Linked DNA regions of Oreochromis niloticus. The protein of the gene in region 1 purifies or fractionates together with the protein of each later gene. This does not show direct contact. Links are inferred from orthologs where the notes say so. Each region holds a gene or a part of one and is shown in the gene's direction. Other genes may lie near its edges.

Region 1 (7,578 bases):
AATCCAATCTGTCTAAGCTGGCAAATTGCAAATTCATCGCTACACCAAAACAAACTAACTACACTTGAAACCAGGCTATAATAATTTGTGAGACTGTCTTTCTAAAATTATGACTGAAAAAAAAAAAAAATCAGCAGCAAGCACGCTCATGCTGGTGCAGCTCAATGTGATGTACGGCATAATTTAAAGTGAAATCCACCAAAATACAATTTAACGGTACAGTTGGCTGTTTCAAAACATCAAACAAATAAGCAAGGGTGGAAAGATTAGGCATGCACTGCACCTTTCCAAAGGCTCAGGCATTAAGCTCATGTGGCTAAAGATAGCCTCATTCTATCTGCTTATCCCTGTGCCTGTGCACCTCATATCAAGCAGAGAGCAAGAGGCCTGGAGCATTTTTATATCCACTTCAAAACAAGAACTACTCAAAAATCAATACAGCAAAATGAATGACATCTGTGCGTGCTGCAGGACAGCTTCATGTAAAGAAGAACAAGGAGGCAACCTTGCTTAAACTCCAAATGTTACCTCATCATTAACTGTGACATAGAGGGCTTCATTTGCGGCACTGCCAAATACACAAGCCTGCCGGATAAGCCGGAGTTCCTCAGGAGGAAGAAGTGCAAACACTGGCCACTTTCCCACGTCCAGCATACTACTCAGCTGTGAAAAAAAGAAAAAACATGGAGAAGAATATGAATCTAACTCACAATGGAATAAAAGAAAGGTTGATTAGATAAACTGAAAAACACAGATAAAAGCAGGAGTATGTTTTCATGTTAAATACTTTGATGGTCTGGTTATTAAACTGGATAATAGGAACTTTCTGCCCTGTATCATGGAATGCATACATATATGTTAAAGAACAGATTATTACATTTCCATCTTTATCATGCCTCGAGTGACCAGCAGCATTCAGATTTAGATGGGCAGACAGATTAAAACGTGTACATCTGTTCAATGACCTTTACTACCACAGAAAGTAAAGTCAAAATTATGTCATCTCTAAAGTCTAACATAATATTTCAAATATAACGGCTTCAATGATTGCACCATTACTCTCTATTATCAAACCACACAGCTGTCTATGGCTGTGTGATAAATGGAAAACTGCAATCAACAGTAAAACCTACTCGTCTGATCCTCTGTGCATCATTATTTGTAAGGCCTATAAAAGGTAATTATCTTGTATTGCTAACAATATATTTCGGTTCCGTTTTTATTCACAAAAACAAACAACCAACCAAACCTGTTTTTATTGCCGCGTCTGACAAATTTACAGTGTTGTTGCATTGTTTTGCATATCAAGTTGCACTTTCCATGAACCCAGACAACACCACCCTAAACACACACATACACCACCATGACCACCAGCTGCTGTTACTGCTGGTAAGATGTCCCACACGTCAAATCAGCAGACACCAAAGAAAACACAAAGCACCGCAAAACTAAGTGTGTTGGTTTTGATATATAAACTTCCAGCAATGAAACTACAACCTGAAGTTAACCCACAAAAACTATCAAGCTAATTAGCGTAAAGAGCGGTGTTGTTGCTGGTACCTCCAAGTGTTGACGTTACCTTCTAGCTAGTGCTTAGTCCGCGAGGTCGTTTTCTGATTAAAAAAAAAAAAAGATACTAAAACATGTCACCCAACATATTTTTCAAATAACTTTGCCGGGGACGTCATGCCGACAAACTGGTGTAGGTCTAGCTTCACGTTAGCTGCTATGGTTGCACTTTGTTGTAGCTAGCTTTAATCGCTACACCACCGCCTAAAAAACATACACACAACACCACACTTCCTGTAGTCACTTGGTGCGTTTACTGAAAATCGGACCTGGGAGCTTCAAGGTTAAATTGGTATTATACAGTAATTAGTGACAGACTGTTTAACATTTAAATGCTTTGTTAAGCAGTTTACAGCTTAACATAGAAAAAATAAAGGTTTCAAATTGCATCATAGTTATATTATCATTATTATTTTTACAATAGAAATACGATCTATTATGCAAGATTAAATAAATCAAATAGTCTTTAATTTGTGAAGTTACATTACTGGTCAATAGACTATAACGACCCAAGACTTTAAGTCGTTTGGGTTATAAGTTTAATGGAGAATATTTTTGCATGTTGTTTAAACATCTGTGGCATACATTGTATTTATTTATTTATTTAAGAAAAAAATATTTCACCCTACCTTTCAGGAGTTGTTGATATACCAATATTAATTTTGTGTGGAACTTTAGGAAACAATTGCTGGTGTGAAACAGATGTGGGTGATACATTTCTGGCTGAGTCATCCTGTACCATTGCAACTACAGGCATAGTTTCAGTATCAATAGAGAGGTAATCTCCTTTAAGTTAAAAAAAAAAAATAGAATGTAAACAGAATGCACCATAGTCACTTCCATGCTCCTGACACACAAAAATACGCTTGCCCACACACATAACATATGTGACCCTAACTGACCAATCACGGTCTTTGACCCATAAAAGGTGCATTTTGTTTAAGTTAGTATAAGCTTGTGTTATTGCGTGGTTTATTTTAATATCCCATCATTCTGTACTCTAAGACACAAAGGTTCTCCTAAGGACCCCCAATCCCCGCTCCAAAAATGTGATTCAATTAATAAAATGAGTATTAAATGCTGCAGCTGCCTGAAAAAAACAGATCATTTGAATCAGACATGTTACAGCAAGAGAGCACCCAAAAAAAGAAGTCCTCAGGGAGCTGAAAACCACTGCTTTAGAATTACTGCCTCCAGAAAAGTGATCCAACTGCATGATGATGCTGTTGTAAATTTGCTCCCTCTTCATTGTCCTCTTACATTTACTTCCTCATTATGTTTCTCATTACTTTGTATTATATTTTGTGTTCTGCTGCAGTCCTTGAGGTAGGTTTTTCATCGTGCATTTCTTCTCAAGTCTTAAAATGTATGCCCCTTCATCTTCAAGTGTGTGCAGGTGTTTGCATATAACTTTGCTGAGTGTGAACTTGTTGAGTATAGATTTGGACAACAAGTCTATGTGCATTTCTGAAACTCACTGCATCCCAAGTTACATGTCTTGTGTTATTACATTAAAAAAATAAAATAAAATAAATTCACGGTGTAAAATAAAATATGTGTTGTGTTCGCTGTTCACTCATGCCATAGAGGGTTAATGCATTTGCACTAGTGTTTATCATGTAACATATCTTTCACTAGATGTCGATGTAGGCATTATTTTTATACATTCTTTGCTATTTTGCCAATTAAATCCATCTGGTTTTATTCTTTCGTTCAGTCCCTGCAATTACACAACTATCTGCATATTTCACTGATTACTGTATAATCAGTCTGTCTTAAAGAGTCAAAGAAATTTATGGAAAGGTATCTTTTTTTAACCTTTATTTCATCAATTTGGGGGAAGATGACTCTCCACTGCATATTTCATTGAGAACTATAGCAGAAACAATGGGGCATTCCTTTATTAAGTCCAGCAGGTGGAGTCATTGATAACCATCTTGGTGTGTATCAGTGATGGGATCGCAAATGGTTTTACCAAAGATTTAAAGACCGCCTATGCAAGAAGGGTGAGTGTGTACATTGTTACTGCAACAATTATACGCATTTGATATATAGTATAGTGATGTTTCATATGTAGGTAGCTACATTAGGACTAGGTTGTGTATGATACATTGTCTGTGATGTTTGTTTAAGTGTCTGTCTGAGACTTAATATTCAGAAAGGACTAGCACATGAAAGAAAGTTTCAGATAGATAGATAGATAAATAGATACTTTTTAATTAGATCAAATTTGGAAGGCACATGAATGAAGGGAATATTGCAGTTTCCAGGCAACATGAATTTCTAATGGTGTAAATTTCAAGTAGAAAACAAACCAGGGGGCAAAAAATCAATAAAACAGAAAGAACACAAAACAATCAGAAAAACGACTATCTCTTTGATATATACCAGTGTATATTCAAAACAAGCTTTCAGGAGTACAGAAATAATATTAAAATATCTTTGTGTTCAATCAAAACGTATAACAAACCCAACACTGCACGGTTTACAAGAACCAGTGATCCACACTTACTTTCTGCTAAAAGCGATATTGTATTTCAATTTGTCTGTGTGTGTCTTGTGTAGGTTTGACAACACCGTTCAGTGTGTAAATTTGAAAGGGTTGTTTTTTCTCTCTCCATACATTCAGTATTGTCTCTCTGGCGTGTAAAATACTGCAGTTCAATCATGCTTGGTAATTTTTAGTACAACTGTGTTCTTCTGGTTACAAACCAGGTAGAAGTAGCAGTGTAGTCTTATATGGAGAACAGCAAGGTGGTCCCTGGACTGACCACGTAGCATTCTTAGATTCCCCCCCGACTGACTTGGTTGGACGAACCGATCACAGACACGTCAACCGTAAGGTCTTTCTTAAAGTGATGGAAAAAAAATAGGTAGGCAAATGAAGTTCATCATAACAGCACCGGATACTGACCGGGTTCACAACAAGAACAAAATTAAATATAGTAACATTATTTAGCGTTTATCTTTGCTATGTTGTAAATTAGGATTCGTGATGAATTGCTCGAATACGCATGCGCACTAAGTGGTGTAAGCGATGGCGACATTCCTGCTTTTTATGCGAGGAACAGGGTTGGATGGAAAGTTATCTCGATAAAACTGAGGGTTAGACAGACGTTATCGATACTTTGCATCGTCACAGTCGCTCGCTAGCTACTTCGACCGTTTTGAGGTGCTGTTAACGCGAGCCTGCGTCGTTCATGAGAAGACCGCATACTATCTTGCTAACTGTTAGCTAGGTAGCTTACGCTAGTATGTCACACTTTGCCTTGTCTTGTGTTTGTCTGGGTAGCTAGCAAGTTATCATCAGCTTCAGGTTCTACAGAAAGTTGCTGGTCATCCAAGCTTGCTGACGTTAAACATTTCGGGGAAGAGCTTCATAAGACTCATCACTGTGCATCGGCTTGTTGAGCAAGACTGCTGCTGTGCCAACTGACTGGGTGAGTAACGTTAGCTGCGCTTTTGGCAATAAGTCTTGTTTTGCTACAGCGAACAACATATTGACGCTATCATTTTAAGGAAGTCGAACTAACCTGTAAGGTTATTGTTTGCCAGTACGTTGGCTGCAGTTAGATAACTGTTAGCTATGATATAACGCTAAGCACACACACCTGTAGCCAAAGTAAACAGTCTCGGGTGCGAGGTAGTTAGTTGTTAAAGGAGCTAAAAATTACCAACGAAAAGCCCTATCTCTGAACATATTTATTGCTGATACTGTGACATATAATAGAAGGAGCTCGTGCGTGTAGTTGACAGGCCAGGTAATGTTAAACGAGTGTCAACGACGTCAAATACTTTCAGTCAAAGGATGACCAGCTGTTACCCCGTGTGCAGATGTCTGGTACGAAAATATGTCTAAGTGCTACAGTTAAATTTACGCATTACAGCTGAGCAAAAACTAGAGCGTGACCTGCTATTAAACAACGACAAGAATTATCATTACCACAATTTTGTGTGGCTGATAATTAAACTGAAAAGCTAGTTCAAATCTTCAAGGTGTTTTCCCGTTTTCTCCAAAACTGCAACTGAAAAACAGCTGGTGTGTCCTTGTCAACTGCTCTGTAGCCACAAACAAATGTGAGGCACAATCAGGGCAACAACAGATGTAACATCTGTTATCTGTTGTTATTTCGATACAGATTTCAGCACAACTATAACAGGAGTTACAGCTGTTTTCTAGTCGTAGGTGGTGACTACTGATAGGCTATAGTTCTGAAAGTTTCAGATAACTTTGTTACAGAAAGAGGAGCAAAAAGACAGAAGTATATACATCTGTTCATATGTTACTGCTGTCACTGCATCTGTTTAATAATCACAATCTTAATGTTCCACTTACCACCATCAAATTTGGAAAATGTGTAATGAACTTTCAGATCATCTTTTCCCATATGAGGGGAAAAAAAGAAAGAATTTTTGACTTTAACTGCGTAAGTGGTGGGTGGTCAGAGGAAATATAAAGAATTGCCTGTCATTAGGGATTTCCCTTAGTTGCTTCTCATTTTACTGACCTCCAGGTAGCTGTTGTCACTGTGGTTTTGGCACGTAATTTACAACTAGAATAAAATTACCAGACAACCTACCAGCTGATTGCAGTAAATGGCTTGGAGGCCTCAAGGCCACACAAGTCTGGCATTCATCTAAAGCCTGCTAGTGTTACAAAAATTAACCACATGGCAATCCCTCATGGCTGTATAAATGGTTCTGCAGGCCTAGTTCATTGACCATCACACTGTAAACTGACTTTGTTTGGGCTTAAGGAGGGGAGGGACTAAAGCGAACAGATAAGCCAGATCACAGTGAGGTTTAGGCACGCATGCGCCAGAGAGTAATTAAGTTCAAGGACACGTTACATTTCTTTCATGGTGTTCTGTTGCTTTTCACGGGAATTTTATTAGCCATGTAACAATTGTATACATTTTATTTACAGTTGGTAAGTCCTCAGTGTATAACTTTGGTATTTTACTCCCGTGTCAGTGGAGTGTTGAATAAAAAACATTTTTGTTTAGTTTGTTTGTTCTGTATTGTTTTGTTGTTTTCCCTAGAAATTCTGACATGGTCTAACTTAATTATGCAATTTTTAATTGTTAGAGTTTAGTAATCAATCACTGAATGGTCAGCTTTTAGGTATATTTGTTATGGAAGGGGTTTGTGAGAAGATGTTTGCCAGTGCAGTATACTGGAGGAGACAGATGAGAAGGGAATCTTTGAAAGAACAGATTAATGTTTTTTCTCTATGCCATCATCCAGTTTCTTTTTCCTCTCTCGTAGTCACTGTGTAAACCCTTTACAACCCTGGTCTTATCTGAATGCTGATATCTGTCACATGATAAGTCACGTCCAAAACATTATACCATTGTCCTTTCTTCTCACATTGTGATGCAAATGATTTTAAATTCAATCATAGGCGCATTAGGTTTGTTTTGAATTCGCCTCTTTCATTCTTTTCTTAACTAGTTAAGGTATTTAACGTCTGAGAAAAAATGGCATGTGACACATGTAACCACTTTTTAGTATCACTTTGATTCATTTCTGGTATTGATTCAACTTGGCTTACGTGACGGCCTCAGAATGTACCTGGTACAGTTTTTTATTTTTTTGCTTTGTGTTGACAAACTATGTGTTATATACCGCTTTTGCAAATATTTGCCTGTTATAGCCAATGGTTCAAGGATGACTATGACCAATAGCTGGAAGCAAGTTACAGTAAGATATTTTGACAACTTACTACAAAGTTTTCTTAACCCCTCCTTCTTTATAAAACTGAAGTTGAACCATAGAACTCCATTTGCCCTCAAATGCCAATAATAAGCTTATCCACAGTCCTTGAGAGAAGTCCAGTTGATGGTCTTTAGTGACACAGCATGATGCATATTTTTCATCTAATTTTGAAATATTTTAACTTGCGTGAATTAGGACTCCTGTCTGTTCGTGTCACCCAGCACAGATTTGTTTAAATTTGCTTCGTTACATTACTATTGTATGTATTCATGGTGCACGAGGTCAACACAC
Region 2 (7,741 bases), on another chromosome or scaffold:
TGTGCCCCAAAAAGTACAGCATATTTACACAAGATATGGAAATATTGTTTGTTTTTCTGGAAAATTATCAGGAAATTACACATTAATTAAAATTACCTATGTCGTATTTAACATTGCATAGAGTCTAATTTTTGTCTCCTTTCCAGCACAATACACAGAAATCAGGCACTATTTGCGATTACTTTCCCACTACTTAAAACTACTTACAATGTAATTATTTCTTCTTTCCTGTAACATACAACTTCTTGTGCCCTACTTAATATTACTTTTACAGTACTTGAAATTGCTTATGTAATAAATTGTATCTTCCAGTTAAATACCCAAAGTCGTTAAATATTTAGAATTACTCACTTTCACACTACTTAAAATTACATACAGGTTTTTTTTTCATGTAAAAACCCAAATTGTTACCTCCCTATTGTACTGTAACTACCTGTAAGTATGTGTAGGTAAATACATTGTAACTTTAAATAAAATAGAGTGAAATTCAATTTAACCCTTTCATGCATGAATTATGACAACCTCAATCAGGAATTTTTTCTTAATTATTCACTTCATTTTCTTTAAACATGCATTATTCAAAGAGTTATTTACAAGTCCACTTAGGTGGACAACATACATTTTGACTTATGAATTTGGTATGGAGTGACACATCAGTGTCCATTGTAGTGGTTTATGTGCAAGTATACCATCAACACTGACACAAATACAAGAAAACAGGCTTTGAATAGCTGTCCACAGAAGTGACCACTATGCGTGAAAGGTTTAATTACAGGAGAAATACACCCTTAGTTGCAAGCGGTATTATAAAGTGTTACCAACACAGTATTGAGTTATTTATTCTTTCATTTATTATTGTATTAAACATATTCTTATTACTCTTTTTTTCAAGTAGTGTGACTGTTTGTTTGTCTCTATACACCAGGTTCAACAGTGCTTCCAAATGTTTTGTATGCTTGTGCTTACATAACAATAAGGGTCGTCTTATCTTATCTTATCTTATCTTAACTTATATTATCACATCTTATCTTATCTTATCCTGTCTTATCCTATCTTATCTTATCTTATCTTATCTTATCTTATAAAGTTAAATTCAAACCCAAGTGATTCTGAGACATTATCTTGTGTTCTTGAAAATTCATAGGGTTGTTTTTTAAACATTTTCTTTTTTACAAACACTGATAACCAACATTATAGCTGCAGCCTGTCAGTTTTACTGCCCAATTGCCCCAAAACAAGTTCCTTTTTCATCTATGTGATCTTTGTGATCATCACATAAAATGGGAAAGTAACCCCCCCATCCTTATCAGCTTACAGTCTTCCCTTTGTTCGCTTAAATGAAACATCATTTAAAAAAAACTGTATTAAAGTGAAATCTGAAAATGACATCAAAGTTTCTGTCATCACAAGTTAGAATTAAGAAAAAAGTCTTAAATGAGAAGCTAAGGCAGGCAGGAGGAGGGAATCCCCTTGCTGATCGGCTAGTTTCCTATCAGTGTTCCTGATGCTGACTCACTGACGCTGGTGTACAGCCTGGCTCCCTTAGGGGCTCCACGCTACCCACAATCCACAACCACGCAGCTGACACAGCTTAAGCTTCACACTGCTGATCGGTGGTTTCATCTCACCTCCCGGTCTTATCATCGTGGACGACACAGAGGAAAGGAAATGGTTCTTACTCGTGAAACCGAATCTTAAGTCACCTATTCCCTGACTCATTCACTGATGTGTTTGTGTGTAAGGGTGAGCAATGTGGAAGGGGATTCATTTTTGACACGAGGAAAATAAATCTCACATCAGTTTAGAACTTTTTTTATATAATGATGTTGAATGGGGATGTAATTAGTTTTGTATACTGCACTTTTCACTTTGTTCAGTTTGCAATTTTCTCCCTTTTTTGTCATGGATTTTGCTGCGATTCCTTAATAAATTGCTTTATTTTTTGTCTTTAAGTCTGTTCATTTTTATGTGTTCTCATTCAGGATACAGTTGTCTTTTCAGTCCTCTCACAGCGTCAGGGGGATTCTGCAGTTTATTTCTAAAGAATCATTAACAATAATTCATCTTTGAGAGTGAGCGAAAAGCTTTCTTGTGAATACTTAGCATGAAATTCTTGTGAGGTTTCTTCCACAGAAATCTATGAGGTAGGTTCAGCAGCTGGCGAAAATATCTACCAGACACTACATAGTCCGAAGAACTGTGTCGTGCCAGTGTGTTTCAGTGGATAGTACTTTGTCTATATAAAACAGGCTTGTCTTCAGGGGGTTAGTGGTTTGATTGCTGTCTTTTAAATGGTGGCTGTGTGTGTCTCCCAGGCAGTGGGTTATGTGGAGGCGTGTGCGTGACAGCCAACTTCGTATCTCATATTTCGAACTTTGAATGCTTACAGAACAGCTTTTTGGAAGTGTATGTAACTGTGTGGGAGGGGATTCATTTTTGAAATCCCACATCAGTTTAGAAGTTTTATTTATAATGATGTTGAATGGGGATGTCATTAGTTTTGTATACTGTACTTTTCACTTTGTTCGGTTTGCAATTTTTTCACTTTTTTTTGTTATTGATTTTGCTGCAAATCCTTAATAAATTCAGACTCAATCAGAATCAGAACACTTTAATAGTCCCTAAGGAAATTATGTAATTGTTTCATTTTGTTCTTTAAGTCTGTTCATTATTATGTGTTCTCATTCAGAATACACTGGTCTTTTCAATCCTGTCACAGCATCAGGGGGATTCTGCAGGTTCTTTCTAAAGAATCATTAACAATAATTCATCTTTGAGAGAGAGAGAAAACCTTTCTTGGGGATACTTAGCATGCAGATGTGGTGATTATCAATGTAGGTGTGATCTAAAGAGGATTTTTAAGTTTGTGTTCGGGTGAAATTCTAGTGAGGTTTCTTCCATAGAAATCTATGAGGTAGGTTCAGCAGCTGGGGAAAGTATCGGCCAGCATTGCTTCCTGTATAACTTCCTGTATTGCTGTTAACAGTTAGTAGAAGGCCAAGTATTTTGGCCACTTATCTATTAAACAACACACTTTTCTTCAAGACATACAGAAGATTAACTGTACTCAGCCACTGCAACTGACCACTGGTTACTGTTTGACAGATTTAGACATATATTTGTTCTGGTGTAAGATGATCAGACTAAGCCCATGAAATTTGTGAATTGATTGGTCACTAGTAATTGCAGAAGAGGATTTGAACTAGACTGATGGAAAAATCATTGATCAGTATGCTTTTTTTGTTTTATTTTGTTTTTTTGTTTTTTAAATCTTTCTGAATATGTTGTTAGTCAGAGGCAGCTTTTAGTTCATGAGGATCACCAATCTAAATCCAAGGCAGGACCCTTCTGTGACCCTCCCTGTGCTTGTGCGGGTTTATAGGAGCTCCAGTTTACTCCACTATCATGAACCATGGCAAGCTAATGCTAACTGATTCAGCTCAGGACAGTCTTGCAGAAGAGATTCCTAATATTAAGAGTCTGGTTTCCTGGTGAAAGATTATTAAGAAAAAAAAATCAAATACCCTCTAATTCAGAACAAGATTAAGAGTTTTCGTTTAAGCATTTTTACAGAGATTTAAGGACTTTGAGACTGCTTTTGTTTGACCTCTGAGTTGTATTCTATTACTCAGATACAGGGGTATTTCCAGGATTATTAATTTATGAATTTATTGATTTAAGTGGAGAAGAAGAATAAGGCTGGGGGTGTCCACAGGAACTTGGAATATCTAATGAGGAATAAATAGATTGTGAAAAACACTAGGCACAATTTTCTGGTTTCAGTGGAGCCCTATGTCATCATAGAGGTGGTGTTACATGAAAAGTGACACTAAGAAGTCCTTAAAGATAGTTTTGTTTAAATGACTATTTAGTGAAATTGGTGAAATTAGTATTTAGGCCTTTTATTTAAGTAATAGAACAAGTGTTTTAAGCTCAAACGATACTTACAGCTGAAGGAGATTTTAATTAGTTACAAACTGATAGGTAGTTTTATAATATTAACAATAAAAAATAATAAGTCACTGGAGGTTTAAAGATTATGGACTACAAAGTGCAATAATTGCACATAAAATAGAGTGGAGTGGAAGTACAAAGGTGTAAAAATAAAGTATAAGTACATTTACCCTGTACTTCAGCGACTACATATCCATATTCTAGCTCATTCAATGGCTTTGAGAATAGCTGCATTCTTAGTACTTTTATCAAATGTCAGTGGTGATAATTACTTTTTTTTTTTTAAACAAACGGTTAAGTACTAGCAATGCAATATTATACGCAGGACAAATATTTTGGGTCAGATTTACTGTGAAAACACACATACACATAAATGGTAATAATTAACAGCAGCTATCTCTGATACATAGATGGTAGTTTTAGCTTCCCTGTTTTAAATAAATATGTATCCATATATATGAATCTTTTTTTCTGAAGTAACACAAATTATGAGTGGAATTTATTATGACAGTCGAAATATCAGCAAATATCAGCAAAGTGAAATGAAATGAAATTATGAAATCTTTGCCTACCAACAGTTAAATGCTACTCTTAAACTAGACGCTCCTGGTTACTTGGCAACGCATAAACCTCATTGGCCAATCAGATACTTAGCTAGGCGCATTGGTACAATCTGACGCGGCCATTCTAAGATTATGTGATCTGCAGACGATGAAAACTAAGTTTTTTGGTAAATATTTAAAGTTAGTATTTTATTTTAACTATCCTCGCTGTATTGCTCACATTGTACTTTCTAAGTGTAAATGGCAAACTACATAGTCCGAGGAACTGTGTCGTGCCACGGCGGTGCATGTGTTTCGGAAAGGTAGTACTTCGGCTATATAACAGGCGTGTCTTCAGTGGCTTTGGTGGTTCAAACGCTGTCTTTTAAACGGCGACTGTGTCTCTCTCTCGGGCAGTGGATTATGTGGAGGCGTGTGCGTGACAGCCAACTTTACATCTCACATTTCGGGCTTTGAATGCTTACAGAACAGCCTTTTGGAAGTGTATGTATCTTTTAACACCCTCTTCAGTTTCTTACGCAAATCTGTGTTTTATTTTCGTAGTTGGGGAAAATAGTGCGTTTGATAAGTATGAATTGCTAAATTTAAAGTTTGCCGTGCTGTAGCCACGGTTCAAAAACGTGTCGCCGGTTGCGCTATTTTAACGTGAGACGTAGATACCTAAAAGTGTGTTGCTTGAGGATATTCCAACTTTGCATAACCGCTGAATTTACAAAGGGTTTTATGACCATATGGCTCGACACTAAGTTAACCGTAATACTATCTTGCTAGTGTAGTGATAAAGCATTCTTATCGTCAGTTTCAGAGCAGAGTTTGGTACGCGTTTTAAATGCTGTTAGCACTGAGCCTTATTTGCTGTACATAGAGTAAAAGTTGGTTTTGACCTCCGCACGGCTAAATTGACAAGTCAGCTGGAATAAATAACTGTTGTTTAAAATTTTGCCCAACGTGTGTCGCGGCGACTTTTGTCGCTCCACGTAGTGGTGAATAACTAGTAGTAGTACCGGTTGTTTATTCGGGAGACCCCCGGCTTTACTGGACTTGAAGCTAGCTCGGTGTTTGTCTCTCAGCGGTTCTGGAATAAAAGGCAGGCTTGCGCAGTGAGCTGTTCTAGAAACCTCACGGGCTCTGTCCTTTTACTGTGTGTCGCGTGCAGGTTGTCTCATGCTCGCGCTCTCCTGTGCTCGTGCTGAACGCTCCTGTTGCTGCTCCTGTTTCACGGCAAGAAAATGGTTCTTAATTACATTTAACTGCGTCCCCCCCCCCCCTTTTTAGACACACATTACTACAGCTAGACCAAATTTGGTAAAATTAAGAAACAGTAATTTTGTTTCTTTTAAAGAATATTGGCTAATATTGTCACATGGTAGACTTTATTTGGTATGTGTCACACTTGAGGGCTGTCACTAACATTTTTGTTTTTTCTGTCCTGCCTCCTTAGTCAATCTAAACTTTTTGAGAAGATGGATAACAAGGAGGTATCAAACAGTTGTCCCTTCAGCGACTTGACTTGGGAGCAGGTGAGCCGGCTCAATGAAGTTCTGACTGAGGTCGTGCCCATTCATGGACGGGGGCACTTTCCTACTTTGGAGGTGCAGCTGAATGATATTGTGGCTCGGGTGCGCTCCCGCCTTGAGCTCAGCGGCATTAAGGTGAAGGACGTACGGCTTAATGGCTCCACAGCCAGCCATGTGCTGGTGCAAGATATTGGCTGGAGCTACAAGGACCTGGACGTTATCTTCAGGGTGGACTTGCCACACGAGGCTGAGTTCAAGCTCATCAAGGATGTTGTGCTTGGTACCCTGCTGGACTTCCTGCCTGAGGGTGTGAACAAAGAGAAAATTACACCAATGACCCTCAAAGAGGCCTACGTGCAGAAGCTTGTCAAGGTGAACACAGAGCAGGACCGCTGGAGCCTCATCTCCCTCTCCAACAATAATGGCCGTAATGTGGAGCTGAAGTTTGTGGACTCAATACGTCGGCAGTTTGAGTTCAGTGTCGACTCTTTTCAGATTGTGCTGGACTCCATGCTCTCCTTCTATGAGGTGGAGCAGGCGCCCATGTCAGAGGCCTTTCACCCCACTGTTAGTGGGGAAAGCATGTATGGAGACTTCAACACTGCGCTGAGCCACCTGCGAAACAAGCTCATTGCCACCAAGCGGCCTGAGGAGATCCGAGGCGGTGGCCTGCTGAAGTACTGCAACCTGTTGGTGAGGGACTTCCAGCCCGCCAGCGAGGAGGAATTCAAGGGCCTGGAGCGATATATGTGCTCACGCTTCTTCATTGACTTTCCTGACATAGGAGAGCAGCAGCGTAAGGTGGAATCCTACCTCCAGAGCCACTTTGTTGGCGAGGAGAAGAGCAAGTACGACTACCTCACGATTCTCCGGCGAGTGGTTAACGAGAGCACGGTGTGCCTCATGGGTCACGAGCGGCGGCAGACCCTCCACCTCATCTCGCTGATGGCCCTCCAAGTCCTGGCGGAGCAGAACGCGATCCCCGACGCGTCCTGCGTCACCTGCTATTACCAGCCAGCGCCTTACGTCCGAGACCACAACTTCAGCAACTACTATGTGGCCAACCAGAACATTCCAACATGGCTGCCGTGTAACTGACGAGACAAACAACTTGGGATGAGCAAGATGGCGTCGCTACTGCTGCTGCATTTGAGAAGAGAAGGAATGAATTTAAAAAAAAAAAAAAAAAAAAAAAAAACATTAAAAAAAAATGTTGGGCAATAAATAATTTGTTCCTCTCAAGGCACAATTATATTTAAGTGGACAAGCGTTTTGCTTTTGTTTTCTCATTCCTTTACGACAGAGGTGTCTAGGTCATTGAATCGAAAGTGATATTTTTAAGTGTTTCGAATTTTTTTTTTTTTTTTTTTTTTTTTCTCTCCTCATGTTTGGTTGTTTCACTGTTTATCAATCCCATTCTTAATGGAGTTGCATTTTGTGCCTTAACCTCCAAGTTTACCCCATCAGTAATTTAAGTATGGGCTGTGATTTGGAGAAGGGAAAGAGGAGCTAATGCCGTAGCCTTACATTTGGTTTTCATCTTGATTTAAAAAAAAGAAAAAGGTTAGGAAAAAAAAGTTGGAAAAAATGCATAAAATATTGAAAAATAGTATTATTGTATTATTGGGGAAAGAGTAATAATAGCTGACTGCCAAAAAAGGGGAAAAAAAAAAAAAAAGCTCATCACCGGTGTTAAAGTTTACTGTG

What was found.
Region 2: the proteins of fndc3a (region 1) and tent5c purify together in Homo sapiens (affinity purification with western blotting; 3 studies listed by BioGRID, with this or other methods). This does not show direct contact. The link is inferred for Oreochromis niloticus from reciprocal best matches to the Homo sapiens genes FNDC3A and TENT5C.

The regions. Positions count from the first base shown.
Region 1 is NC_031979.2:31,779,865-31,787,442, forward strand, and holds the start of fndc3a (fibronectin type-III domain-containing protein 3A), read left to right. Parts: upstream 1-4,505; 5' UTR 4,506-5,009; intron 5,010-7,578. Other genes in the region: rcbtb2 (RCC1 and BTB domain-containing protein 2), read right to left, coding at 529-654. UniProt on the Homo sapiens protein: Mediates spermatid-Sertoli adhesion during spermatogenesis.
Region 2 is NC_031987.2:28,029,104-28,036,844, reverse strand, and holds the start of tent5c (terminal nucleotidyltransferase 5C), read left to right. Parts: upstream 1-4,697; 5' UTR 4,698-4,757; coding exon 4,758-4,819; intron 4,820-4,913; coding exon 4,914-5,000; intron 5,001-5,958; coding exon 5,959-7,132; 3' UTR 7,133-7,741. UniProt on the Homo sapiens protein: Catalyzes the transfer of one adenosine molecule from an ATP to an mRNA poly(A) tail bearing a 3'-OH terminal group and enhances mRNA stability and gene expression.